4 linked regions of the Tamandua tetradactyla genome follow. The protein of the gene in region 1 interacts with the protein of each later gene in a pairwise test. Links are inferred from orthologs where the notes say so. Each region holds a gene or a part of one and is shown on either strand. Other genes may lie near its edges. The genes, in order: CBY2, METTL17, CEP44 and LMO1.

What was found.
Region 2: the proteins of CBY2 (region 1) and METTL17 interact in binary tests that used the Homo sapiens proteins (3 or more experiments, as listed by UniProt). The link is inferred for Tamandua tetradactyla from reciprocal best matches to the Homo sapiens genes CBY2 and METTL17.
Region 3: the proteins of CBY2 (region 1) and CEP44 interact in binary tests that used the Homo sapiens proteins (3 or more experiments, as listed by UniProt). The two-hybrid records come from large-scale screens. The link is inferred for Tamandua tetradactyla from reciprocal best matches to the Homo sapiens genes CBY2 and CEP44.
Region 4: the proteins of CBY2 (region 1) and LMO1 interact in binary tests that used the Homo sapiens proteins (3 or more experiments, as listed by UniProt). The two-hybrid records come from large-scale screens. The link is inferred for Tamandua tetradactyla from reciprocal best matches to the Homo sapiens genes CBY2 and LMO1.

The regions. Positions count from the first base shown.
Region 1 is NC_135330.1:112,977,061-112,984,877, reverse strand, and holds the start of CBY2 (protein chibby homolog 2), read left to right. Parts: upstream 1-4,809; 5' UTR 4,810-4,936; coding exon 4,937-5,011; intron 5,012-6,121; exon of another isoform or gene 6,122-6,267; coding exon of another isoform or gene 6,268-6,273; intron 6,274-7,817.
Region 2 is NC_135340.1:35,619,093-35,626,355, reverse strand, and holds the start of METTL17 (ribosome assembly protein METTL17, mitochondrial), read left to right. Parts: upstream 1-4,251; 5' UTR 4,252-4,301; coding exon 4,302-4,382; intron 4,383-4,533; coding exon 4,534-4,687; intron 4,688-4,772; coding exon 4,773-4,904; intron 4,905-5,786; coding exon 5,787-5,868; intron 5,869-6,177; coding exon 6,178-6,259; intron 6,260-6,569; coding exon 6,570-6,643; intron 6,644-7,099; coding exon 7,100-7,194; intron 7,195-7,263. UniProt on the Homo sapiens protein: Mitochondrial ribosome (mitoribosome) assembly factor. Binds at the interface of the head and body domains of the mitochondrial small ribosomal subunit (mt-SSU), occluding the mRNA channel and preventing compaction of the head domain towards the body.
Region 3 is NC_135352.1:38,807,742-38,815,062, reverse strand, and holds the start of CEP44 (centrosomal protein of 44 kDa), read left to right. Parts: upstream 1-4,303; 5' UTR 4,304-4,690; exon of another isoform or gene 4,691-4,869; intron 4,870-4,919; exon of another isoform or gene 4,920-5,214; intron 5,215-7,321. UniProt on the Homo sapiens protein: Centriole-enriched microtubule-binding protein involved in centriole biogenesis. In collaboration with CEP295 and POC1B, is required for the centriole-to-centrosome conversion by ensuring the formation of bona fide centriole wall.
Region 4 is NC_135334.1:82,441,374-82,448,286, reverse strand, and holds the start of LMO1 (rhombotin-1), read left to right. Parts: upstream 1-3,896; 5' UTR 3,897-4,420; coding exon 4,421-4,445; intron 4,446-6,913. UniProt on the Homo sapiens protein: May be involved in gene regulation within neural lineage cells potentially by direct DNA binding or by binding to other transcription factors.

The sequences.
Region 1 (7,817 bases):
TAAATCAAACCTCACCACAACCCTACAATGTAAGAACTGTCAAGCCCAGCCTATTACAAAAGAAACCGAGGCTTAGTGAGGATCACACAACTAACAGAGGAGAGAAAGAGGATTCTACCCTAGGTGCTCTGACTTAGAGTCCGTGCTTTTACAATTACCCCTGCAATGGTGGCCAGCTGTGGAGGTGAATGTTTCTGTTGACATGGTAAGTTTAAGAGATTGTCCTTCCTCAGGGCAGTGCAAGTCCAGTCTTAGACCCACTTTTTGGAGAACTGAACTCATTATAACTCACTGAGGACTTTTCTTACTTCTTGAAGAATACTTTAGTCAATTTATTAGGTACTATTCAGAGGTCACAAATTATTTGGTAAGCATTCCATTATCATTAAAGAGCTTCTAATGGACAATTAATTTAGGGGATTACACACTTAACTAATTTGATGACTTTTAATTTTGGTTAGAGTAAAATGTACAGAGTCGCATAAATCATGATTACAGCTGTCTTAATAAACAAAGCCTTCAATTTTGGCCCTGTCAGTCTAGAGTGGAGTGGAGTAGAGCTGTGCCTGCCTCTTCATTTGTGAGTGTCCATTTCCAGGGCTTTTGGTGTGCCCTCCCATGACCAATATTCATTTCAGAGGGAGACAGTTACCAAGACGTCCCCAGTTACCTCACTTGAATTTTTCCAAAATGAAAGAACATGTCTTAGAAGACTGAAAGTCTTCTCCATCGGAAGTCTTTTGATTGCACTTTACTCTTGGCTTAAGTGAGTAAATTAAATAATATTTAGAAAATGTCAAGACTTTGGGGAAATTTCTGTTTGTTTCTAGAGTCAAGAATGAAAGTTCTGTAATCGCACAAAGTTCTAGAGCCCCCAGGTTTGGATGTTTCTCAGTGGAGCCCATCCTGTGCATAGCCTCTTCTCTGACTTCACCAAGACTTACTCTCCTGGCTGAATCTGAACTGGGAGTACCAACTATTCCACTTGCCAGTGTCATCCACCTCCAGTGGTTATTTTGATAATTCTGTGAATGTGAGTGTTTCTTTTATAACAACTGTTCATCTCACATAGTCACCCCTTGACAGCTGTCATCCTATTTTCCTACTTCCTTCCACTCCCAGACTTTTCCAATAGGTGATCTTTATTTGTTGCCCCACAGGCTTTCCAACTCTTTCAATGGACTCCCTGGCTGCTGCCTTCTGTATCAAAAGAAGATAAGGGGTGTTGGCCTTTTCTGGGAGCAGTTTTGCCCAAGTTCTCACTCTACTTGGGCTGCTTCTCCAGCTCCAGATGACACCTAGCTTCTGTCCTACATAGCAAAAATAAATTTTCCTAATCACTTCCTGCAATTTGGAGGTTGTAAGCATCATGATATTTACAATGCCCCCTTTCCTTCCCTACTTTCACAACTGAAAAGGAAAGAAAGGTTAAAATGGAAACCCCATGCACGCCTTGGAATCCAGTTCCAAGAGCTTTTATTCCTTTATCCCTCTGGGGAAGGGCAGAGGTCCCACCCTCTTTAACAGACCCTCCTGCTGGCTGTATTTCCTTGTGTGGTTCATCTTCAGAAAGTCACAGGCTAGGGAAGTCTGGAGAGTCTCGGATGCCTGCCTGCCCTTTCCTCTTGCTGCCTAACCTGTCTGTTTAGATTAAAACCCCACAAGTCATGTCTACCTCCATGCCCTGCTTAGCGGCCAATTGTGGTTGTTCACTGAACGTGGATGATTGATGACCATGTTAATCTGAGTAATAGCAGGCATTTTTGGGCACCATCTGAAGGAAGCTTCTGAGCACTAGGTTATGGATGCTTGTGTCCTGCAGAAGAGGAAGGAACCCAGCTAATGTGCAACTGGAGATGCTGGTTGCAGGTTGGCCCAACTGAAATGCTCCTCCTGTTAAAAACTAAATACAATTGAATCAACCAAACAAACAAGATGCCACACAAGCTGCAGGGTTATGCCTTTAAAAAAATGTTTTTGTTTAATTAGAGAGGTTGTAGGTGTACATAAAAATCATGCATAGAATAACAGGGTTCCCACAGATCACCCTATTATTAACACGTTGCATTAGTACCTTTGTTACAATCATGAAAAAACATTTTTATCAATATTTTTTTTTTTTTTTTTTTTTTTTTTTTTTTTTAAAGGAAAGACAGAGAGAAGGAAGGAAGGATAGAAGGAAGGAAGGAAGGTAGAAAGGGAAACATCTTTAAACATTTTCTTGTTTTATTGTATTTTGTTTTTCCGTTTTTTGTTACATGGGCTGGGGCCGGGAATCGAACCGAGGTCCTCCGGCATAGCAGGCAAGCACTTTGCCCGCTGAGCCACCGCGGCCCGCCCTTTTATCAATATTTTTATAATTGTAATAATAACTAGTTCATCATTTACAATAGGATTCACTGACTGTATTGTACAGTCTTATGGATTTTTAAAAAATTTTTGTTCTAATAACATGTATACAAACCTAAAACTTTTCCTTGAACCGTATTCACATACATAATTCAGTGCTGCTAATTATGTTCACACTGCTGTGCTTCCATTACCACCATCCATTACCCAGACTTTACTATCAACCCAAATAAAACTCCCTGCGATTTAAGCATTGACTTTTCACACCTTTTAACAGCAACACCAATTGTATATTAGCTGACTGAAATTTTTGAGTCAAAGGGAGCAAGGCAATGAGCTATGTGAGGGCAACAAAACATTCTTTATGGAGAACATACTATGTGCCTGGAACCTTATGCTTAAATGTAACCTCCCCATTTTAAAGATGAGGAAACTGAAGCTTCTAATAGGCCATGGACCTTACCCATGTCACCCAGTAAGTAACTGTTTATTGGGCCCCAGATTTGCATGATGCCGGCATCCAGACCTTTCTACCTGGAGCCTCATTTATTCTTTTAGGTTCAGTAAGAAGAGCTCTTTCCATGTCGTTGTGTGTTGAATTGTGGCCCTCCCCTCAAAGATAGATCTTTGCAAAAGGGTCATTGCAGATGCAGTTAAGTGAAGGATCTCAAGATTATCCTGGGTTAGGGTGGGCCCTAAGTCCAATGCAAGTGTCCTTAGAGGGGCAAAAAGGGGAGAAGATGCAAGAGAAGGAGATGGGAAGACTGAGGCGGAGTTTGCTCTACGAGCCAAGGAACACCAAGGATCATTGGCAGCCACCGGAAGCATCCAGGAAGAACTCACCCTGATCTCCAGAATTGTGAGAGAGCAAATTTTTGTAGTTTAAAGCCATCTTGTTGTGGTACACCCCCATACCTGAGAAACTGCTCTGGGTAGGACAGCCCTGGGACTCTAAATCACAGCTAAGGAAACAGGGCAGTTTGTGGATACATTCCCATTCTTTCCTTTAGCAATGCCCCTTCCCAAGACAGGTTGGGGATGGCCTTTGACAAAACTGGAGAGGGAGCCAAAGTTTCATCCTGAGGGTCTTCATCACCCATAGATATGGTGGGGCAGCGCGTTTCATTGTGGGACGTGAAAGGATCTGGCACTATCCCTTCACCCAGAATCAGGCTTTAGGCAGAAAAAGGCAAAGGACCATGGCAGAGGGGAGGAAGGTGGGAGACCACAAAGAGCAGGGCCTGCCGAAAAACATGACCCCTTGACCACACAGCCCCATGAGGATCTCTGGGCACTGGTGACATCACATTGCCCTTGGGTCTGCATTCTTTTTAATAAACTTTTTATTTTGAAATAATTTCAGGCTTATAGGATAGTTGCAAAAATAATGCAAAATCCAAACAGAGAATTCCAGCGTACCCTTTACTCAGATACCCAGATCCAACAATTTTGAACATTTTGCCACATTTTTTGTATCATTCTATCTACCCCCTCCATCTTTTCATCTGTTTTCTAAATATTTGAGAGTAGATTGTATACATCATACTCCTTGAATACCAAACACATCCCTGTATCTTTCTAAGAACAAGAGAAACTAAAGAGACAAAAACAACTAAATGCACTATGTCACCTGGACTGGATCTAACATGGAGGATAAAAGGCCCAAAAGGGCATTATTGGGACATATGAAAAACTTGGAATATAGACTATAACTTTATATCAGTGCCACATTTCCTGATTTTTATAGCTCCACTTAAGGTGGATACATAGGTGAATATTCTTGTTCTGGCTTCTCTGCTTTTAATGTATATTGTGAAAATATGTATACAGCTGAAATGTGTTTTTAGGCAATCTGACAGTGAACTGCTTAAAAGAACCCAAGACAAGTTTCCTTGCAAAATGAGTAAAGTTTGACAATGCAATTGATTACCCTCTGGATTTTACCATAAGTATATTCTTTAATTTTTGCACATTGGATTTTCTTAAAAAAAACTTGCTTGTGATGGGGTGTGGGAAACTTCAGACAGCAGTTATAGTGTCTCTGGCCTTGCTGACCCTGACCCACCACTCTTTTTCCCTGAAAATTGCATAATAATGTGGAATCGGGACTCTCTGGCTAAGAAGAGATTATTCTTATGTTATAAGAATAATCAGGAGGGTTCCCACGAACAGATCCTAGAGAGGGGCAACTGATTTGACAGAACTGAGGTCAGAGGGTCTGAGCTGCCCTGTTCATGAAGCCCTAATACCAGCAGCGTGGCCGCGACTTGGTTTCTACATTTCCTTCCGTGATCCAGGCAGAGTTCACTTTGGGTTTCTTCCTTCTTAGTAACCCAACTCCGAGTAGAAGACACCCACCTCTAGAGAGAGGAAAGGGGTCTCAGCTCAGCCTGGCAGGGGATGTGAGTCACCCTGGCTGGGGTGACCAAACAGGGGGCTGGTGCTTGGGCTATTGTGTGTCACACTGACCGTGACCGGCCTGCAGACACAGCCAGGGCTGAGCTCTTCCTGCTGCTCAGATGCCTCACTGCCACCTGTGACGCTCACAGGAAACCATGAGCGCTGAAAAACACCGTATTGTTTTGTGATGTCACCTCTGGAATGTTCTGAGTGTTTTGGTGACCAACTTCTGCATAGGACCTATACCTGGCACCTCACGTTGGTATGGCTTTTATTCTTGAGATAGACATACTAATTTCAGACCAAGAAGTAGGCATAGTTCTCCCTGCTTCAAAGGTTTTTGGAACGCTTTTACATCTTAATTTCTGCTCAGAGATGGATAAAGCATCTTATCAGATATCATGCACACGTTCCTTCAGACTCAGATGTTCATAATGCAGATGACTGACAGCAGGGCAATAAATGAGCAGAAAGTCCTGTGCTTTTCAGGTTAACAACTGCTGCCCAGAGGATGGGCTGGGAAGCAGAAATCATTTTATTTTCTCTTTTCTATTAAGTCCAAATTTTACAAGACAAAGAGATCCCAGATCTGAAAGCCTAGAAATTCCAATCAGTGTGTTTCTACCTCAGGTAGAGATTATCACAGAAGGACGTAACCCGTCAGTTTTAGCCAGAATAGCTCTTCTCCTTCAAAACTCTAGCATGATGTTGTGGAACAAGCAGAGTAGTCAAGGTCTGAGGTTCTACTTCCAGGGCAGCTTCCAACCAGCTGTGTGCCTGGGAGAGGCCACTTAGCCACTCTGGACCTTGGGTTCATCTTCCTTCAAATGAGGGTGCTGGGAAGCCCATTAAGACCTTCTAGCACTAACATTTCCAGCTTCTCTTGTACTTTGAAATGACCCAACCTTCTCTAAATGAAATTTGTTGGTGTTTGCCATTGGGCCACCACTCTGATTTCTTGGGGTCAGATTTGAGACAGGTCTCAGAATCAAATCATATGAAGTCATCCATGAGAAGAAAATCTAGTACACACATCAAGGGGACCAGGTCATTTGGAGTTGTTAAGAAAATTAAGCTCTGTTACATACCCAAGACAGAGGGCTTAAGGGAGGTGGATGTGTTTTCCAGAGGGATTCAGAAGAGAGGCAGATCAGTTGGTCAAGTCCTGAAAGACCTGAGATGTCCAGGTCTCCATCTGCTAAGCAGCTGTTTCCTTGGTGGAGTCCTCTTGATTGGGCTGTTTCCACATGCTGCTATGTCACAAAGGTCAGCCTTGCATCTCCAGACTTACCTAAGACCCAGCTTGAAGACCATGTCTGTGCAGCCAGAGGGGCTGAAATGTAGGGTGGAAGAATCAAATGAAAAGGTAACTACCTGAATACTGTCAGGGAAGGTAGGAGAGGAAGATCCCACGGCCAATGGACGTCCTCACTTGTTTCTTTCTTAATGCTACCTCTTTCCTCAGAATTTTCAGAACAACACATTTAGAGAGAGAAACTTGCAGCATTGTTTCTGTAGATGGAGGTAATTGTAACAATTTACACATGTGTTCAGCAGGTGGGAAAAATGTAGAGCAAGAAAATATTCTGGATATTTCTTTTTACATGGGCCTTATCATTTTGTAATGAACATCCATTTCAGCTCATGAAGCTCAACTCTGGAATGTAACTTACTCTTGGTCACTGGCCAGGATGACTTACCAATAGTATTCCTACAAAGTGTGGGAATTTTGTTTTAGGGCTAATTCATTCCACTTGAAAGTCATGTGTAGTTCCTGCCTTGAATTCCTTTGGTTCTTTCAGTCCCAGTAAATCATTCAGCATTACTAAGGGATGGGTAGAGGGAGTGAGGGGGTGTGGGAATTGGATTTGAAAGCATTGTAGTGGTCATGTGATAATGAGATTGGGGAAAGGGCTCCAGTTTATTCTGGAGCTGCTCATCTCCTTGACTGCAGGACTTACAGAGAGGGCACAAGCCACGTTTCAGATACCTGCTGGGTGCTCTAGGCATGAGCTCTGGAGCAGGGGTGTGGGCAGCTGTATCTTCAAATCAATAGCAGCTTCTACCCCTGGGGCTGTGAGAGGGACCTGCATGCTCACTCTACCTCCCCAAAATACTTTGAGTGTTTGTTACAGAAAATGAGTTGGTGTCAGTTTTGGGCAAAAGGACTCATCTGGGAAACTAGATTGAGCACTAATCTGGTTACGTGATCACGGGGCCAGGCGGGTGGGAGGTAGATATTTTATTGGTGTGGGAACTGGAATTCCCAGGAATCCCAGGGAACCCCAGGGTTTGATCCCTCAGCCAGGTCCTGCTTCAGCCCTGAGATTCTACCCTTGCTTTTAGGAGACAGTACCTCCTCTTCTACCATTTTAACTGCTCCTACAGACTTCCACGCATACATCTGCGACTTGCTGCTCTACTCAAGAACTGAATGTGTTTGCTTTACTGGGAGGAAATGCTGCAGCAGTTCTGCTCATCCAGAAAGTGTGTCTGGCCTCCCAGCTCCTAATCATGCTGGGCGTTCAGCCTTCTCAATTACATTGCAAATGCCATTGAAGCATATTTGTTATCACCCTGAGGTCTTTTCAGGTCTTACCGATTTCCAGTTTTTCTTCCGCACGTTAAATATTTGTGTTTCCCTCCAGCACAGCAACTTGCAAGCCACTGCTGTTTTTTGCTGCCCGAGCTGGCTCACCTCTCAGTTCCTTGTGTACCTAACGATTCAGTTCTCGTGGGCATTCTCCACATTTCCCCAATGAGCCATATCTGTGAATTTCATTAGGGCTTTGTTTACTCCTAGATCATTAACGAAGGGGCTAGGCCAGATCAGAATGAGCTCCCACAGCACGCTGCAATGCCCCCTCATACCTCAGTGTCCCTTAGTTTGGGCTTGTTCTTGAGAAACTGTGGAAGCCCATTGAGAGTACTTGGAGCTCTGCCAAACTGAGTAATTGTTGCGATGAAGATTTTAGGTTCTGTGTCAAAACAGCTAGCCAAAGCTACCATGTGTGACATCTTCTTTATCCTCTTTACTGTTCGCGTTGTAGTTCTATTAACATCAGTCA
Region 2 (7,263 bases), on another chromosome or scaffold:
GTTTTTGAAACAGATTATGTTAATTTTAGTGTTAGATTCAGGATTAGGTTTTGTGTTAATGTAGGGAGAGCATTAATATTAGGTTGTTGGTTAGGGTTAGCCTTAGGCTAGGGTTAGGATTTGGATTATGCTTAGGGTGGGATTAAGATTGGTGTGAATGGGTGGGCCACAGTGGCTCAGCAGACAAGAATGCTTGCCTGCCATGCCAGAGGACCCGGGTTCGATTCCAGGTGCCTGCCCATGTAAAAAAATAAATAAATAAATAAATAACACCTAAAAAAAAAAAGATTGGTGTGAAACTTCAGGTTGGTTTGGGTTTGTTGTTGGTTTTTAGGATGTTGTAAGTTTAGGGGTAGTGTTAGTGTGAGGTTTCGTTGAGGTTTAAGTTAAGGATAGTGTTCTCTGAAGAAAGTACTTTCATTACAAAAAGTGCATGGAAGTGAATGGATCCATCAAGTCTCTAAGCCTTCAAAACAGTATTAGGTAAGGGATTTGCACAACAATTTTTGAGTTTTCTGTGAAAATGCTAGCTTTCATGCAAGACATACATCCAAATGAATAGAGCCAACGTGTCACTCAGTTCTCAAAACACATTCACAGACTTTTTACAAATAGAATTAGGGAGATTTGTTTGACAATGCTGTTTTACGCTAAAAATATGTGTGGATGTATGTGGACCAGTTACATTACTCAATTTCGGAAACAAATTATGTTAATGCTAGGCTCAGAGTTAGGGTTAGTGTCAGGGTTAGGTTAGGGTTAGGTTGTGGTTAGTGATAGGTTTAAGGTTGGGTTTGGTTGTAGGTTTGGGATAAGTTTAGGGTTGGGCTTAGTGTTGGTGTTGGATTTGAGATTAGGGTTGAGGTTAGGGCTGGTGTTAAGTTAGGAACTCAGGTTAGAGTTAGAAAGAGTTAGATTTAGGGTTTGAGTTAAGGTGAGGGTTGGGGTTTAAATTAGGTTTGTGTTGGTTTTTGGACTGGGTTTGGAGGTTGGGATTTGTCCTGGTATTGGTTCTTGGGGTTTCGGTTTGTGTTTGTGGTTGCATTAGTGTTATGTTTACGTTAAGTTAATTTGAGGGTTCTCTGAAATATTGCAGTTTTTTGTGAAAAATCTTATTCCAGTTAATGGGACCAGGACAATTCTAAGTTTTCAAAATAGGTTTAAGTACTGGTTCGCATAGCTGTAGTTGAGCGCTCTGCAGAAATGCTGTTTTTCACTGACAAAATTGCTTGGAATTAAATGAAGCTGGTAAGCCAACAAGCTCTCAAAACACGTTTACAAACTCTTCTCCTATTTTGCTAGGAAACATTACTTCGCAATGCAGTTTTCCATTAAAAATGCATGGAATGTGTGGAGACTTTATTATTACATGATTTTTGAACCAGATTATGTTAATGGTTAGTGTTAGACTCAGGTTTAGGTTTAGGGTTAATGTACGGATAGCATTAGTGCTAGGTTGTGGGTTAGAGTTAGGCTTAGGCTAGGGTTAGGATTTGGATTATGCTCAGGGTGGGATGAAGATTGGTGTGAAGCTTCGGGTTGGTTTGGGTTTGTTGTCAGTTTTGAGGTTGTTGTAGGTTTAGAGGTAGTGTTACTGTTAGGTTTAGGTTAGGTTTAGGTTAAGGGTAGTGTTCTTTGAAGAAAGAAACTTCAGTCCCAACAGTGCATGGAATTGAATGGATCCATTAAGTTTCATTGCTCTCAAAACAGTATTAGGTAAGGGATTTGCATAGCAATTGTTGAGATTTCTGTGTAAATGCTCATTTTTATGCAAGATATACACGAAAATGAATAGCCAGTGTGTCACTCAGTTCTCAAAACACATTCACTGAGTTTTTCAAATAGAATTAATGATAATTGTTTGACAATGCTGTTTTACACTAAAAATAGTATGGATATGTGGACCAAGTACATTACTCAGTTTCTGAAACAAATTATGTTAAGGCTAGGCTCAGTGTTAGGGTTAGGGTTGTGGTTAGGGTTAGGTTTAGGGTTGGGGTTAGGTGTAGGGTTGATGTAAAGGTTAGGGTTCGGTTTTAGGTCAGTGTTGGGGTTGCAATAGGGTTAGGTTTGGGGTTTCTGTTGGGGCTAGGTTTAGGGCTAGAGTAGGTTTAGTTTTAGGGTTAGCGTTAGGGTGAGGGTTTGGGTTGAAGTTAGGCTTGGGGTTGATTTGGGGACTGGGTTTGGAGGTTGGGATTTGTGCAGGTCTTGATTCTTTGGGGTTTCAGTTTGTGTTTGTGGTTGTTTTAGTGTTATGTATAAGTTAAGTTTAAGGTGAGGGTTCTCTGAAATATTGCAGTTTTAGTAAAAAAAAATCCTAAGCTAGTTAATGGAACCAGGACAATTCTAAGGTTTCAAAACGGGTTTAAGTAATGGTTCACATGGCTGTAGTTGAGTGCTCTGCAGAAATTCTCTTTTCACCCACAAAATTGTTTGAAATGAGTGGAGGTGGTAAGCCAATGAGCTCTCAAAACACATTTCCAAACTGTTCTTATATTTTACTAGGAAACATTACTTTGCGATGCTGTTTTCCATTAAAATGCTTGGAAATGTGTGGAGATATTATTATTACTTGATTTTAAAACAGATTATATCCATGTTAGTGTTAGGCTCAGTGTTAAGTTTAGGGTTCATATAGGAATAGCATTAGTGTTAGGTTGTGGGTTAGATTTAGGCTTAGACCTAGGGCTACGATTTGGATTATGCTTAGGGTGGGATTAAGATTGATGTGAAGTTTTGGGTTGGTTTGGATTTTTAGTTCATTTTGAGGTTGTTGTAGGTTTAGGGTTAGTGTTAGTGTTAGGTTTAGGTTAAGGATAGTGTTCTCTGAAGAAAGTACTTTCAGTCCAAAAAGTGCATGGAAGTGAATGCATTAAGTCTCTTAGCCCTCAAAACAGTTTTACGTAAGGGATTTGCATAGCAATTGTTGAGTTTTTGTGAAAATGCTAGCTTTCACACAAGACATACATCAAAATTGATGGAGCCAGTATGTCCTCTGTGACTGTAAAACCAGCTACTCTCTTTCTCCACTCATTTTTTTAAGGAACTTGTAGGCTCCAATGCAAATGACGAATTTGAGTCAGCCATTAATCAGTTCCAACCCTTCATATTTGTACATTGTACCGGGAATACTATGCTATTGAAACGGTAACTTTGCCTCCCTTCCTTTCAACTTGCACGTGTGTGTGTGTGTGTGTGTGTGTGTGTGTGTGCACATGCGCGCGTGTCTGCTGCACGGCAGGGTCACATAACATTCTTTTTCCATGAGTATACTTCTATTGCAGCACCATTCGTTGAATTTTGTTTGGTTGGTTTTTTGTTTGCTTATTTGTTTTTTTGGGAAGAAGTGCGTGAGACGGGAATCAATTCAGGTCACCCACATGGCAGGTGACAATTGTACTATTGAACTACCCTCGCACCCCGTCAGCTTGAACTTTTGAAATGTCTCCCTTTCTGCTTAGATTTGATTATCTGAAACTGTAACGACTTCATCTCCCCTTGCTAAAATCCATAAAAACCTTAAACCCCCCAAATTCCGGGAGACAGACGTTGGGCCACCAACCCATGTAATCTCTTGCTTGTGCCTAGCAAAATAAATTCTCTCTCTTTAAAACCCGGTGTCCTTTTTAATTAATAAAAAAAAAAAAGTAGAAAATTATGAATATATTATGTTTACTATGCTGAAGATACATAAACTGACCTAATGATTTGATGCAATTCTAATAAAAATCCCAAGAGGCTTTTTAAAAAAAAAAAAAAAAAAAAAAAAAAAAACCCGGTGTCTTAGGAATTGGTCATCTGAGCACTGAGACAAAAGAATCTGCTGTTTTTGTCACCGTGGGTCACCTAAATCTGGTATTTAAGGTCGTCTTCCCAGCACTGCATTTTACCCTTTTCACAACCGGAAAAAAAAAAAAAAAAGACAAACAAGACTCAGAATTCTCTAGACAAGCAGTACAGATTGCTAACACATCCACAAATGGTCTTAGCTTGTCACTGCCACGTTTCTAGGGACCCCCTCCAAAGGACCCGCGCCCGGACGCACCCTCCATTTCCAGACCCCGCAGCAAGATTCTACGCAACCTCGCTTCTGGCTGTTTTCGCAGGAATTGCGGCCCAAGTCCCGCCTACGCACGGTTTCCGCCCCAAGAATATCATTTATTGGCTACTAGCAAGCACTCGCTCTCCTCATTGGCTGATACTGTCCCAGGCCGTCGTTACACGGCGGATGATCACCTCGGAGATGTGAACCCGAGTGTCACAAGCATCTGCAGTTCCGTTTCCGGTTCGCCTCCGGAGCCATGGCGACAGCTAGTGGATTGAGGGTCCTGCCGACTTTAGGCGGATGGAGCCACGGCCTTGGAGTAGCTCGCCAGTCCCGGGTGAGCGCCTATTTTCCTTGCTCTCCAGAGACCCCGTATCTCTAGAGAACAGCTCCGCTCGGAGGAGGTGTGCTCTCGGCACCCCCTCCCTTTCTGAGTGCCCACAATCTTCCCTTCTACCCTGTAATGAGCTTTTCTTTTCTGCCTGCAGGCGCTTGCCGTCCTCGTGCCTTGCGTTACCCAGGTGGATAACAAGTCCGATTTTTTGGGAAACAGGCCCCATCGCCAGCACCCGGGCATTCTGCAGCTACCGCGTGTGAGCCTGCCCCAAGCGCTGAGTGATGCTGCGCAGTTACTGTTGCGCAGTGAGTAATGGGGGAAAGGGAGACCCGAGAAAAAGCAGGGATGAGGCCCCCTCTCATGATTGCACTTTTAATTTTTGACGCAAAGCGAACTCGGTACCAAATATGGAAAAGCAAGTACAAACGCTGACCAATCATCTCTGGAGCAGACATGTACCTGTGGAGCCAGAGGAGTTGCAAAGACGGGCAGCAGATCTTGAGAAGAAACTGGGAAACGCAGGTAGAATTTAAGAATGTTTAAAGAAGAGACCAAATAGAAATGTCAGTGGAAAGTGAAAAGCGAGAAAGTACAGTCTCTCAAATAGGTACTGCAGCTTCTTTTTTTTTATTTTCTTGCCAGAGCAGTCATTACAAGAAAGCCTTTCTAAGAGAAAATAGATTATTCCAGAAATTGACCTTGGAGTTTGGGTAAAAGTCAGAGGGTGCGGCAGTATTCTGTCAAAATCTAGATCTTTGCTTTTTTCCTGCAAGTCCACTGAACTAGGACCGTCTATGTGTTTATTCTGGTGAAATAAAGTCCCTGTATGGTTCCCTGTCTACTATGGAAACACTCCTAGGGATAGGAGAAGTATAATTCATCAAGTTATTGGCATGAATTCTTTCATATTACAGACCTTCTTTTTATTCTTCTTGTATTCCCTGCACTTCCCACAGTACCTGGCTGCAGGGAGGCACTCAGTACATACTTGCCAAATAATACTGAACTGAACACAATTGTGAGACTTAGGATTTTTCAGTCCGTTATCTCCCCATAGGAACATAGGAAACGTCACAGTCTTAAGTTTCAGGGAAGTGGGAAAATCCACAAAATACAATCCTTATCCTATTCTTTAAATCTTTATCACATTTCACTTTAATGTAGAACAGAAACTGTGGGATAGGGTTGGTTAAGTTGGATAAAGCACTATTAGAGACATAATACTATCTGATATACTATGGCTGTTGTTATTGTTGTTCTTACCTGGGATTTTTCTCTAGGTTTGACTTCTTTCTTAAGCTTGGAGCCTGTGGGGACAGGGGGTAGGGGAGAAATGTATTCAGCTATTGGATCTGAGCCCTGCTTTCCCCAGGTTGTCACCTGCAGTCCTTATTCTTGCCCCAGACTCATCCCAGGCAGAGGAGAAACTTCGTGGAGCTGTGCTACGTGCCCTGCGCAAAACTACCTACCACTGGCAAAAACTGAGGTGAGAGGGACGAAAAGCCTACAAAAGAGAGAAAAGTTCAACTCTAGAAGGAGAGTTGGGGAAGTATAATTACACAGTATAGTTTTTAAAAAAGTTACCTGGAAAATAAAATAAAATAGTAAAATAGCAATATAAATTAATTAAAAAGTTACCTGAATTGGGAGGTTCCCCAGGACCCTTGTGTGGAAGAGTGAAAAGGGTGAGCTGGAAGAGCCTTTTGCAAAGATATCATTTCCTAAAAATCTAGAAATTAACTGTGAGATAGAGGTTATTTTCCTAGTGAATGTTACTCTCTAATTCTTCTGGCAGCTACAATGAGAGACTGAGCCTGGTGTATATGGCAGCAAGACTGGATGGTGGCTTTGCAGCGGTCTCCAGGGCATTCCATGAGGTGAACGTTCCTCAGTTTCCAACCTGGTCCCTTTTACCATTAGTTTCCTCGTTCCTAATGTAGTGTTCTTGGGAAATGATTCTTGGGACATTTCATGTGCATTTTTTGTGTGTTTGTTTTTGAAGCTTTTATCATAGAAAAGATTTCTGTGACTCAAGAAAAGTTCACAACCACTGTTTTAGGAGCTTCTTGTTCTCTTAAGAATTTTTATTAAATCTCGAAAGACATTCACATCTTACTTCCTCTAACATGATCCCTACTTCATATCTACCAAGGCCCTAAATGAGTAGAGTGTTATTTATTTCTTCAGATCCGAACTCGAATCCCAGAGTTCCAGCCACAAACCTTGATGGATTTTGGTTCGGGTACTGGTTCTGTCACATGGTAAGTAACTTTCTTCAGCCCTGTTTCTGCTCATTTTAACTCTAGGGAGTCATACTTGTACCATTCGGATATCAAGGGACTGGGGAAGCAGAGGGAGAACAGAACAGTTGGAAATTAGAATGCTTCTTCCCTCAGGTTGGGCAAAGCAGAAGAAAATATGTAGACTGGGACAAAAGAAATGTCAAGTGAAAAAAAGCCCATGTTTTGAAAGATTAAAAGAAAGAAGATTAGTATAGATCATTATTCAACTATCAATCAATTTTTTTCTGTTTACAAATTGTTTTTTGAGTCTGCCTTTTTTTTAAGGAGTTGTAAATGAAATAAACTAACTATTAGTTTTTCTAACCTTTTTAGCATAGTACTCTGTTTCTCAGGGGTTGGGGTGAGGGTAGAGAAGTCTCTTGTAGGAAGAATACTTTGTCATGAGATTTGGTGATTTACATTTTGCTATCTTAGGGCTGCGCATAATACTTGGGGTCAGAGCCTACGTGAATATATGTGTGTGGACAGTTCTGCAGCCATGTTGGGTTTGGCAGAAAGGTTACTGAAAGGTAAGGACAAGATATAAGAAAGGACTCTTACAAAGTTGAGAAAGTTAAGAAATTAAAGGGGTACTATGA
Region 3 (7,321 bases), on another chromosome or scaffold:
TAATTGATTACATTTATACTGTGAAATGGGGAAAATGATTTTTTTAACCTACAGGAAAGCCCAGTGAAGACAGAAAATATGCCCATTAAACTGATCATATATATTAAATTATAACGCAAATTTTGGCTTATCTACAAGTTACGACCATACAATGTTTTGTAGAAAGAAGTATTTAAACTGTGTTATTTTCTGAATCATGTTTCAAGTTTTGCAGAAATACAAGCACCCAAAACTATACTGGGTAATTGGCTGTAACCTACTTTAAATCAATGTGTATTACCTGAGAGGAAGCCCAAATTTAAAAGTCAAATTTTAAACACACATCCAGGCTGGTGTCAACACATGAATTATCAGAAATAAACTTGAATAATACTTTATTTAATAGATAAGGGTTTATAACATCTTTCAAACAGTGAAGAAACAAGCAATTTTGCATTGAATCACAGTGAAAATAATGTAAACATGAACCCTGAAGGATGTAATGTTTATTTTAATAAGCTTATATGTTTAATTGACAAAAACTATGTTGGTCATGTGCATTCAGGGAATTCAGAAAGAGGTGATACCTGCCACCTAATAATGTTTAAAAAGAGACATCCAAGACACATTTCTAGTCTAAGACACTCTTCCCTCCACTATTTTATCTCATGACATAAAAGGCTGCCACTGATCTGCATCCTTTCAACTCTTACCTCCAACTCTTTCTTAACTTCTTTCCCCATTAAATGCTACCTTTGCTCATGCGTACTTTGACCTAAATTCAACCATATAAAATGGCAGTAAGGAACACAAATTCTCCAACTGTGAATTGCTCTGCTCATGTGGGCCAAAAAACCCCACACATTCCTCTCACTCACATCATATCCCAAGTACAGTTTCCTAAGAAAAACAGGAAGTGTGCCTCTCTCAAGATAAGTAACAGGAAAAAAAGAAAAAGAAAAAAGGCTTTTTTTTTTTAAAGAGAGATAACGCTAATCAAGTTTATCTTACTTATTTACTTATAATCTGGCATTTCTCCTTGTCTGTCTGCTGTCTTTAGGACACATTTTTGCTAAATTAATCCTGTCTATTTATTCCTAAAAATGATCAACCAGAGTATCTATGTTAGGCCTCTAAGATGGTCCCCAACTATACCTGCCTCCTTAAATTCATGTCCTCGTGTAATCCCCTCTCCTTGATTTTGGGTTGGATTTATTGACTTATTTCTAATAAACACAATAGGGCAGTAGTGATAGGATATCAATTCTGAGATTAGGTCCTAAACAACTGTGGCTTCTTGGGTGCTCATTCCTGGACAGCCTATCTCAGGGGAAGTCAGCTGCCATATGGAGAGGCAGCCCCTGCAGAGGTACACAGAAAATGGGACCAAGGGCCATCAACAATCACATGACTGTACTTGGAAGTGGATACTCCTATCCCTCTGTTGAGCCTTCAGATGAAATCACAGCCCCTACCTATAGTTTGACCACAACCTCATGAGAGAGCTTGAGCCAGAGATACTTTGCCAAGTTGTGCCCAAATTTCTGACCCACAGGAAGTGTGAGATGATAAATGTTTGCTGTCGTAAGGTGCTATATTTTGGGATAATTTGTTACACTGCAATAACTAAAACAGCATCTTAGACAAATTTTCAGAAGGATAACAATGGGAAGTTTCCTACTCAGCCTGACAAACAACAAAATTTTTTCTTTATTCTGACACCCGCTTTTATCATATAGCATTTTCTTAGGTGAAAGAACAATAACAACCAAAAACCTCCTGATTCAGAAATATGATTACCAAACTCATCAAAATTAGGAGAAGGAAAGCTGAAATAAAAATAGAAATTGGGGAAAAACCAATAAGCAAATTTATCTGGAAGGGCAGGGTGCCCCGAATTGCTAAAAACATCTTGAGGAAAAAAAACGAAGCTGGAGGTCTCGCGCTGCCTGACTTTAAGGCATATTATGAAGCCACAGTGGTCAAAACAGCATGGTATTGGCATAAAGATAGATATATCGACCAATGGAATCGAATAGAGTGCTCAGATATAGACCCTCTCATCTATGGACATTTGATCTTTGATAAGGCAGTCAAGCCAACTCACCTGGGACAGAGCAGTCTCTTCAATAAATGGTGCCTAGAGAACTGGATATCCATATGCAAAAGAATGAAAGAAGACCCATCTCTCACACCCTATACAAAAGTTAACTCAAAATGGATCAAAGATCTAAACATTAGGTCTAAGACCATAAAACAGTTAGAGGAAAATGTTGGGAGATATCTTATGGATCTTACAACTGGAGGCGGTTTTATGGACCTTAAACCTAAAGCAAGAGCACTGAAGAAGGAAATAAATAAATGGGAGCTCCTCAAAATTAAACACTTTTGTGCATCAAAGAACTTCATCAAGAAAGTAGAAAGACAGCCTTCACAATGGGAGACAATATTTGGAAATGATATATCAGATAAAGGTCTAGTATCCAGAATTTATAAAGAGATTGTTCATCTCAACAACAAAAAGACAGCCAACCCAATTACAAAATGGGAAAAAGACTTGAACAGACACCTCTCAGAAGAGGAAATACGGATGGCCAAGAGGCACATGAAGAGATGCTCAATGTCCCTGGCCATTAGAGAAATGCAAATCAAAACCACAATGAGATATCATCTCACACCCACCAGAATGGCCATTATCAACAAAACGGAAAATGACAAGTGCTGGAGAGGATGCGGAGAAAGAGGCACACTTATCCACTGTTGGTGGGAATGTCAAAGGGTGCAACCACTGTGGAAGGCAGTTTGGCGGTTCCTCAAAAAGCTGAATATAGAATTGCCATACGACCCAGCAATACCATTGCTAGGTATCTACTCAAAGGACTTAAGGGCAAAGACACAAACGGACATTTGCACACCAATGTTTATAGCAGCATTATTTACAATTGCAAAGAGATGGAAACAGCCAAAATCTCCATCAACAGAAGAGTGGCTAAACAAACTGTGGTATATACATACGATGGAATATTATGCAGCTTTAAGACAAGAGAAACTTATGAACCATGTAATAACATGGATGGACCTAGAGAATATTATGCTGAGTGAATCCAGCCAAAAACTAAAGGACAAATACTGTATGGTCCCACTGATGTGAACGGACATTCGAGAATAAACTTGAAATATGTCATTGGTAACAGAGTTCAGCAGGAGTTAGAAACAGGGTAAGACAATGGGTAATTGAAGCTGAAGGGATACAGACTGTGCAACAGGACTAGATACAAAAACTCAAAAATGGACAGCACAATAATACGTAATTGTAAAGTAATCATGTTAAAACACTGAATGAAGCTGCATCTGAGCTATAGGTTTTTGTTTTGTTTTGTTTTGTTTTGTTTTGATTTTACTATTATTACTTTTATTTTTTTCTCTATATTAACATTCTATATCTTTTTCGGTTATGTTGCTAGTTCTTCTAAACCAATGCAAATGTACTAAGAAATGATGATCATGCATCTATGTGATGATGTTAAGAATTAATGATTGCATGTGTAGAATGGTATGATCTCTAAATGTTGGGTTAATTTCTTTTTTTCCGTTAATTAAAAAAAAAAAAAAAGAGAAGGGATAAAAAAAAAAAAATAGAAATTGGGTTCACTTTGTAGTAATATAGGTCACGATATATTCATTCATTCAGGAGAAACACCTAAGATCCCTGAATTTAAAAACTGCACTTGTAAGACAAGTAGACACAACATGTTGCTACATATATGAAAACTTAAAAATGAAACAAAAAAATTAAATGACCGAGGAATAGGATTCATCTATGTAATTTCGTCCAGTGAATATTTACTGAGCACCAACTATGTAAGAGATTAAACCCCAATCACAAAATAGCAAATAAAGAGGGAAAATTAAGTTTCCAAACATTTGTAACCAAAGTTTGGCGGCTGAAGCAACTGGCAATCTCGTTGTGGCCCTAACTGTATGTTTGCATTCATATGTACTCGAAAGTATGTAAAGAACCAAAAAACTGTGGTTGTTAACCAAAACAACATTCTAACACCCGAAAAGTAACACTTGGGCCGGAAGAGAGTCCTCGACGTTTCTCGGCTTTATTTCAGGATGACGCCTGGTCACCACCTGGGGTCCCAAGCTCACCCACACCCCAACTGGCCTCGAAACAAGGCACACCCCTCCCGCCTCCTGGCAGTGATTCCTCACTTTAATAAGCCATCACTGCTGTCACTCAAGATGCTTTGCACTACCATTGGTCCCAAACTCTTACTGGTCGGCAAGTTTCTGCCAACTGGCAAGCACTGACTGCCTTTATTTTCGAGAAGAAAGGTGCACGGGGAAACGAGGCAAGAGAACTTGACGTCTGTGGGCTGACGCTTGTACCTGAGTGACCCGCGATCCCCACCGCCGCCGCGACGACTCGGCCTCTGGGCGGGGGCTTGTAGCCTGAAGGGAAAGGGCTCAGCCGGGAACTGGTGCCCAGGCCATGGAGACGCCGGCTCAGAGTTTACTTGCCCACGCCGGTGGAGGCGACGGCTGGGAGAGGACCAGAGACAGCCTAGATCCCTCCGAACTCCGGGTACCTCAAGCTGCAGCAGCCCGAGCTGCGGACTGGCGGAGTTTTGACGTTTCCTATTGTTGCCGGAAGTGACGTGTCGGGCTCGGGCCCTTAAAGAAGAAGCATTTTTATCCCCGCCGGGTACGATTCGCTATAGATTCCTTGTGTCTCAGTCGGCAGCCCGAGCCTCTCTGCCGACCATCTAAAATGATACCGACTTCTCCACTGCACCTTGTGAAGGGCGGAGCCATTGCGAAGGTTCTCAGCCGAGTCCCTGCCCGGAGGGGTGTGGGCAAACCGGCTGTGGAATCTGCAGCGAGGTATCCGAACGCGCGGAGCAGCTGCAGCGCCGCAGGGCTGGCGGCGGGTCGCGGCGCGCTTCGAGCGGTCGGTCCGGATCCAAACGGTCGGCGCGAAGAGCGCGCCTGGGTGCGGCGCCGGGCCGCTGGGACGCGTCGCTGGAGGCCGGGCCGGGGTTTCGTCGCCGTCTCCACGTGCTCCCTCCCTCTCTCCGGGAGGTGCGGGGCCGGAGGCCGGCGAAGCCCTCTTCCATGCTCGCGGCTGCTCGGGGAGCCCGGGGGGCCGGCGAGGCTGCGCCCTAGTCGGACACAGGTCGCCTCTCTCGCGTTCTCTTTCCGAGGCCCCAGGCGGGGACGCACGACCAGGTCTGCCTTTTCATCCTTTTCCGTCGGGCGGAGGGAGGGGAGCCCTAGATGTGCCTTGTCCCCACCAGACGACGCGGCAAGACTCGTGCCGGCTCGCCCTCGGCTCGCCCTCGGCTCGCCCTCCCCGCTTAGGTTGTGACTTCAGGGCTGGCGGGTTGTCGCCTGACTGGTTCCTCCCGTCGGATCATCGGAGTCCAGGGGCGATGTGGCTTTTCGCAAATACTGCCCATAAGGAAGAGGAAGGAGCGCAGTCTGCTTTCCTTCCTTGCATTTCCCTGGTGTTTCGACTATTTGTTCACCTTCCTAGAGGACTGCAGATTTTCCCCTACCATGGAAAGTTAATTAATCCTTTTTTAAAATTCTGGAATCATGGCTGTAGTATGCAATTTTTCTAAAATCAGCCCCAAAACTTTTAACAGCTCTGAAGACACCACTGCCCCAATGAGTTCTGTCTTGACCCTTACTCACATTGTTTCTTTCCAGTTTTCTTAATGTTTTCCCTTTCTCGCGCTTAGAACAGTATTTCCCTAATATATTTTAAGGGTTTCGTAAACTTAATTTTCCTCCTCTTTACCTCCCTATTTTTTCCTTTTTTTTATTAGAGACGTTGTAGGTTTACAAAAAAACCGTGCAGAAAATACAGAGTCCCCCTGTACTCCCCGGATTAATGGCATTAGTATGGTAGTCCATGTTGCAATTGATGAAATAATATAATTGTAACTGCAGTATTCACCACTATTAATAGTCCGTAGTTTACATTAGGGTTCGCTGTACTGTCTTACCCCTTCATTTTTATATCCAGTTTTTTAGGTATTATCCACCTTTATGGGTTATATCACAAGTCTTATTTACAGTGTAGTTGCATTCTAAAAAAAATCACTTTGAGCCCGGTGGCATTCATTTGGGAGGCATCATTTTCATGCCTTCTAAAAATAATGAGATTAAGCCAGGTTAAGAATCTTTAATCTGCTCTAGTATACCACTTGTCCTGCCTCACACTTAGGAAGTTCAGTGCAGCTCTGACTTGTAGGCAGACTTCTTTGGAGGAAGCTGGAAAGCAATTTTGAGATCTTGATTGAATCTAAGTTGAGTAATATCTCCTTTCTGCTTTTAATTTCTTTTGATAAGGGTTATGAAGTGAAAATATTAATTTTTAAAGTAAATTATTTTTCTTCTCTGAAAATAAAGTGTTAATTCTGGTGCTTTTCAGTTTTATGATAAATCTAGTCAAGCCATTCATGAAAATGTAGGCCAGTAGCTGTAATTTTTTTCCCCTTGCTTTTGGAGAACTGTTTTTTCCCCTATAATGCTCAGATATATTTAATCCTTTTGCCTTTTCTATCCTGTTTTGTCACTTATCTCTTTCACCTACAGATCCAAGCTGTACTTGGATCTTACTTTTCTTCAAAATATTTATTCTGCTGGTAATGCAAAGGATGTGTTCCAGGGACATACATTGTTGTCAGAAATTCCATTACCAGAGGTAGAAATAACATATGAGGCACTTAAATGTGTTCCAGGACATCAGAAAAAGGAAAAATGAAAAGTTACCATAAAAAGTTAAGCATAATTACATGTGCTGGAAAGATGGACTATATATCTTGAAGGATTAAAGGAAGTCTGAAAGAGATATAATTTATCTTAAAGTTATAGAATGTTTTAGGGGAAAAAGGCACCCTTAAATGAATTACGTTAGGACAGATGGCTCTGGAAAACAAACTCAGACCTACTATATTGGCCGGTGGCAACACCCATTAGTAGGTTTCAACCAGATTAGTGTCCCAGTAAAGGAAAGGTTGGTCTTGGGAGATTTAATTGTTCATCAACTCCAGTCATCTTTCAAGATGTTAAATAGTACCTTCTTTGCTAGTATTTTGTTTATAGTGTGAATGCAGGATCACTTCTTTGTTAGTTATCTCCTGTCTGATTATATCTGAAATTTCCATGACTAATGTTCTATGCATGAGTGTATAGAAGTAATTTAAATAATATTTTTATTGTTTTGATGAGGAGGAAACTAGAAGCAGGAAGATTCTGCATTTCTAAAGAGAGGGAACACTGGTCATTCTACCATGAGGAAAAGAGTTGAGAAATGGGAGGCTAGGGG
Region 4 (6,913 bases), on another chromosome or scaffold:
GAAGTCTCGCCGGCCACCTGGAGCCCGCACCCCAGCACGTTCCCGGCCAGGAACTTTCTCACTGCTCCTACCGCCTTGCGGACCCCGGGAGCGCCTCTCCCGCGAGCGCCGCGAACTCCCAGGCAGCAGCCGCTGCCGACCAACCTGAAAGTGAGGGTCCAGCCAGACCAGTGTCATCCTGGGGTCCCTGTCCAGTGTCAGTCCTGGGGCTGAGGGATGGGTGACAATGCCGATGCCCCTGGCAGGACTGGAGAAGGTGGTCAGTTCACCGGGGTCCAGCCACGTAGGGAGGTGGCACCTTGGCCACAGTATGTGGATGGGCCATATATAGTCCAAAATATCAGGTTCAACCAAAGGTGGATCTACCTGGAAGCTAGTGAAGTTTTAGCTTCGGGGTCCTTTAGTCCATCCCTGGTAGTAATATTGTATTAGCATTAGTAATCTCATTAGAAATCTCACCCTCCTTTTCTTAAAGAGGGTGCTGCAAAATATATGTTTGGGGCCTCACAAAATCTGGGTCCACCCCTAGGCCCAACTCAGGTCCTCCCCATTCCAATTGCTGATCTCCCAAGATAAGTCATAGCCTGGCTGGGGGGTGGGCAGTCCCCAGGGGTTAAAGCAGCCCATTAATGCCTGGAGAATGAAGCTGCTGGGGCAAGAGACTGGAATATTTGGGGCTGAGGCAGCTATTGGTCTTCAGGGAAAGGATCTGGCTGCCTGGCCTTCCTCTCTGGCTCCATTAGTCTCTATGGTGCTCGACTGTCCTGGTTTGTCCGGAACCGTCCCAGTTTTAGCACTGAAAGTCTTGTATCCTGCACCGTTCAGTCCCAGGGCAAACCTGAACAGTTGCTCACCCTACATGCACAGTATTTTCAGGGCTGGTGTGTGAAGCTAGCTTGGCTTTCATCAAAGGGCTGAGGTAGTCTTCTTTTCTGGGGTGCAGATTTGGCCCAGGCCTCACAAGGCCTAACAATTTGCGGCTGCAGTTTCTGAGAAGGCCTCCTCTCCAGGACTCCCCAGAAACCAAGAGGGAACGTTTACCAACTATGCATTTCTTCACTTTAGCTAGTTGTAAAATTCCCGTGCATTGTCTGCTTTGGTGTGAGTAGGGAGGAACTTGGCCAGGATCTATCTTGATTGCATTGTAAAGTTTGTAGGATTGCTCACTCCTGTCAGCTGTGGTGGCCATGGGGAATGGGCACGTCACCCCAACTCCCTCTCTGAACGTTACCTCTATGGCCGGCTGGTAACCTCAGCTTGTAGACAGCTATACTGTGTTGAGTGCAGGGCCCTCAGGCTGAGATACATCTGACACTCTCCAAGGCAGTTCTGGAATATTTGGTCTGCCCGGGGCCTCAGGCCCTGGGTCCCACTCTTCCCACCTCTCCACTTTCTATGCAGGAACACTTCCTCAGGACTTTGCTGCTGTGTGCAGCCAGAAACTGCTGGGACCTACCCAGAACTTTTGTAAGGCCAGACATTAGCTCCCCTTTCTTCCCACTGTTTCCTTGAGGGCTGATCAGCTGACCTTCCCTGATGACCCTAGAGGCATTTCAAGGGTGTTTTGGAACATTCTTGGCAGGTGGAAGCAAGAATACAGAGTACGTACTTATCACCTGTGGAATGTGTTGGGAGCAGCCCCAGGGAAGCCAAGGATTCTTCCCTGGTGTTGTGGGTGTGTCTCAGGACATGGAAGTAGCTTGGGTGAGGGTGAGCATGCGGTGGGTGGTTACCTGCCTGCGCAGCAGCTACCCAGGAGCTGTAGGGAAGCCACCAGATGAGTGTGGCTTATGTCTGGCTCTGTCAACCCAATAGGCCCCTTCCTGGCTGGGAGCTCAAGTCATCCAAACTCTCTGGGGCGCACCAGGCAGCTCCATAAACCAGCTGTGGACCCCCGCTCCAGATCAGTTTGGGAACTTCATGCTTACAGCCCGTGGGTGGTGGTGCAGAGAGACACCTGTGGGCACTGGGAGCCTTCACAGCCCCATTCCCATGCTGATACACCTTACCTGCTTCTGCAGCTCACTGCTGAGCATTCCAGGCCTGCTTCAGGTCCAGGGCTTGGCAGTGAAAGGGGCCCTGACTCCCCAAGGGTATACAGGCTGCATAGCTGATAACTGGTTCCTTGGAGACTGGTGGGAGCTGGCATTGGGATGAAGATTCCCAGGCACAGCATATGGACAAGAGAGTGGGAAGCCAGCCTGGTTTGTGGGTCTGGGCCAGACCCTGAAAGTGAGAAGAAGTGGCCCATGGTGGTTAGGAGTAAGGATGCAGCCCTTGTGGAATGAGTGCCTCTGGGTAGCATGGGGGGTTCTGCACAAGAAGCTGCCCCTTTCCAATCTCTCAGGCCCTGTGCCTGTTACACTGCCTGGCCCCCAGCTCAGGCTAGGTGACCAGCTGGCACTAACTATGCCACTGGCAGTGGTGGCCCAATGGCAGTGCCATAGCCTTCCTTAGACCCTCAGGGTACTACTCCAGCTGCAGTGGCAGGGGAGAGATCAAGCCCATAGTCCTGAGGATTGGCAAGTCTGTGCAAAATGATATATTTAACATCAAATGTACTCAAGGACAATTAGGATTAAGTAAGTATTCAAGATGAAGGAGAAAATGTAACCTTCTGAGCTGCGGATAAGGCATCTCATTAGAAGCAGCCTCTCTTCTGTTTCCTCAAAGCTGACTTCCCTGGGTAGGAGAGGGGAGGGTGGGCTGCAGCACCCCACTCCTCTTCTGTCAAACACACCCTGAATTGGGGCCTTCCAGAGTTTCAGGGGCAAGGCCTGGCCTCCAGGTCTCCTTTGTACCTGATAATACCCCCCATTGTCTAGGGTGCCACAGTTTACAAAACTCATTCATATTAATCATCTCTTCTGATCCCCACAGCAACCTTGGAGACAGGAAGAGCAAATCCTCACAAACAGGGAAACTGAGGCCCAGAGAGAGAGTTAATTGTCAAGGTCCACCATTGGTAATTGGCAGGGATGGGATGAGATCCCAACTGGTGGCCCTTCACCCCTCCAGGGACTTCCACTTTCTTCTCCTTGCCTGAGTCTAGGCCCAGAAGTGACTGCCAGGACCCAGCCTCCAACACAGCTGTCTAGATCCCACGTTGGGCTGGAGAAAAATTACAATTTCCATCCCACCCTGGAACTCTTTACCGACAGGGGAAAAAAAAACCACTCTTGAGATTTGAATATGGGTGGCCTTCCTGGAGTAGGCAGCCTGGGCACCAGTCCCAGGGCCCTGGAGAGAAGCAGGATCTAGGAGCAGAACAGATGAACGCTGTCTCTCCTCCTGTCCACTGAGTTGCAGAACAAGACTTGTCAACTCTGTAATAGCAGCAGGATTCTTTGTTTGTTTGTTTGTTTTTCACTGCTTTATTTCGAATGCCTAGAACAGTGCTTGACACATAATACAAACTCAACAAATATTTGTGAAATGAGAAAGCCCGAAGGCATGTACGCTCTGGGGCTGCTTGCTCAGATGTTCAACAGGCTGCCCCAATGGTGAGCTGCTGGAGTCAGAGGTGGTGCTGGGCAGGCTCCGGGTAGGAGGGTCCTCTCCTGCAGTGGGTTAGCTTTGTGGAGCAATCTGGGAAGTAGAAACCCCGAGCAGAGCAGATAGGAAGGGAGGGTTAAGAGGCAGAGGCAGAGCGCCTGGGTGAGGAGGGCGCCCTATTGCTGAGGGCCTGGGAGCAACAGACCCGATTCTTCAACCCGACAAACATCCGAGGCCTCGCCGGCACCCGGCAACTTGAGCGCATCCCGCGCCGAGTGAGAGCTGAGTGGCCTCGAGGTGGCGCTGCGGAGCTGGGTAGCCGCGCGTCTCCACTCCCCATTAACCCGGGAGGGAGGGGGTCCTCGAGAAATGTGTGCATTTATTCAGTAGCAGGAGTGCAAACCTCATACATTGAGGGAGAAAGGCAGCGGGAGACGGCCGCCGAGATTCTCCCAGCTCTTTGAATATAATTTTAGATTGAGATTCAGATTAAATCCGAGGGGAAAACACTTTATGAGGCTGAAAGCTGTGTCGTTGCCAGAGCCAGGGTTATGAGCTATCAAATGCAATTACATTAAGACAGATTATATTGGGCAAATTGAGCCATTTAGAAGGTGAGAATCAAAGAAACGGCTCTGATCTTCTCTTCCCCCTTCTCTCTCCCTCTCCCTCTCTCTCTCTAAATTGCAGTTCGTAGTTCCTTGCAATTCTGAGGCACAAAAGTAGGTGAGACTGCTTTTGTAGCTGCGAAGTGCTTCACTCCTGAATGTAATTCTAGCTGAGTGCAATCTAGGTTAAGAGCCGGACAAGCGGGTAATTAGAGCCCGCTTGCTGCCGGAGGACCGGCCGCCCCACCGAAGCGCGCCCGGAGTCGGCGCCCTTCTCCCGGCCGAGCTGAGCTGCGGCTGGACACGGAGCGCCCGAGATGATGGTGCTGGACAAGGAGGACGGTAGGTGGCAGGCGGGGGTCCCGACGCCCGTAGCCCCCTGCCCCCGCCGCGGCTCTCTGAAAAAAAAAACACATGCCCAGGACACAGGCGTACGCATGTCGGGCAGTGCCCAGATCGCCTGGCGGGCGCGCGGCGGGCTGGGGTTGCGGGGCAGGGAGGCACTGGAGGCGGGGGCGGTTTGAGCGAGCCCCGGGCTGCGCGACCCTGGGCGTCCCGCGGCGCGTCCGACCGCGAGCGGACGAGGTGTGCGCCGGCCGGTGTGATGCTCGGCGGGGCCGCGTGGAGGCTCCCGGCTCCCCTCGGCTGTCGGCGCCGTAATGCTTTACTTAGAGCTGTGGGTCTTTGCGGCTGCTCCTCTCACCGCAGCCATAACCCTCGCGCCCGCCGCGTAACCCAAGAGGCGCTGAGCGCCTAGCAAATCAGCGGCCTCGGGGAGAATCGGACTTCCGAGCTTGGGGCCAGCGGGCGCGCGAGAGGACGGCGCTCGGCCCAGGATGCCTGGGAAGCAAGGGCAAGGCCGGCTGGGCCCTCCGGAAGACCGCTGTCCACTAGCGTGACTCGGTGAGGAGAGACCCCTCTCCGGCCGGCTGTCTCCCTGAGCTTGCCTTGCAGGCAGGAGTTCGGCCCAGACGAGGAAAGCGCCTCGCCACCGGCTAGTAGCGCTCTTGCGGGTGAAGCCCCGCGGGAGTGGCGTGGACTTGAATAGCCTCAGTGTCCCAGGGATCTGCGGTGCTGAGAGATCAGAGGGGCCCATGGCTGCTGGAAGCCACTAGCAGGTGGTTCCACGGATTCTAATGCCTTCGTGGCTAGGGGTGCCCTGCAGTGAGTGTCCTGGAACACTCAGGAGAGGTTGGGGATCCCAGCATTCTTAAGAGTTGAAGCCCTGTGGCCTAAGCTCAGCCTTGAGGTCAGGAGATTGACAGTTTCCTGGCTGCTACCCCAGACCCTCCTGACCTGGGGGTGAGGGTTGCTTGCTTTTTTTTTTTTTTTTTTTTTGGTGTTCCAGGAAGTTCTGTATGTAATCATTGGCACCGGCACTGCTGCCTGCATTCTGCCACGGGTAAGGAACTGAAAGGGTGGGTTTCATGTGAGTCAGTCTGATCTTCTACTGTGCCCTCTGCCCATGGGGGCAGTGGTATGGACACAGTCACTTGTTGAAATCTGGAAGTTAAGGGACTTGCTCAAGGTCACATAGGACCCTTTGCTGCTACTGCGTGCCGGAGCCCCCAGCCTACCTACCACCTCCTGAGGCATTCACAGAGTCTGGCCTGGGTGTGGATGTGGGCGAGCCCTGTGGCTGGTAAGCCCATGAAAGGCATTTCTCAGCACGTGTGCAGCCAGAGAGGAAGGGGTAGCTAGATGTTTTGAGGCTTTTAGCCAAAAGAATCCATGTGCCGGAGACTGGCTGGAGTGTGACGACCATCTTGTGTGTTCTCTATTCACGGAGCCCTCTGGGGAGACCCCAGCACTGCCTCCCAGGTGGGAGTAGGCCACCAGAGAACAGGGCTGATATAGTTTTTCGTGGAATGAAAAGAGGATAAAGGGGCCTGGGAACAGGTCAGATGGGGAGAAAGGGGGCCTTGATTCAGTTCCTTTTCATTTTCCATCCCCCTGTGTTATCTTAGACCAGTCACACCCACCTCAGGGCTTCATTTTTTTTCTCAATAAAATAAGGGGCTTGCAGAAGTCAGTGCAGAAGGTCCTTTCTTGATGTCTGGGAATCCTGTCACTGTGGAGAGATGTGGAAATTAAGATCTGTCTTTAGCTAGGGGTTATTCAGTATTCTTAGCTCCCCAGGCCTAAGGCAAGAATCCAGAAGACCAGAGCCCTTTACATGGGTGGTCTCAAGCGGGCAGATACATCTCATGCCAACAAGATGACCGCCGCTCCCCAGGTCTTGGAACTAACTGCATGTCCAGGCACCCCAAGGTGCTTCAGGCTCCATAATGTCAAGGGCTTCCAGATGAGCCTTGAGTGGGAATGGATTTCTGGAGGTCATTTTGGACAGTCTCCTGTATCCAAAGTACAGTTCACTTTAACCACCTTGGGTGTAAGTGTTTCCCCTTGTCTCTGTCCAGCCTAAACAATAGGGTGCCCTCTACCATTGATGCCACTGGGCTCTGGGACCCATTACAGCACAAGGTGGCAGGCAGCCGAGTCCCTGAGCAGCCTAGAGCTTGTCTCATCTTGTCCAGCCTAGAGCTGTCTTTCAAAAACAGCCTTTCTGCTCAGAAATTCATGCTCCACTTTCTGTTAACGTCTGGCCTCCCCCGGATGCAGGACATCTTCAGTTGAAGGTGGCACCTTCAACTGGGGGAGGAAGAGAGCTCTGGACCCATTTACGTTTACCTCCAAACCTGCTGCCTAACTTCTGAGCACTTGTGCTTTTTTAGCAGGCAGCCGCCCAGGCTGGGTGGCAGCTTTGGCCCCTAGGGCCCCCAAGGGGTGTGTCCTCTGGGCTGTGACAG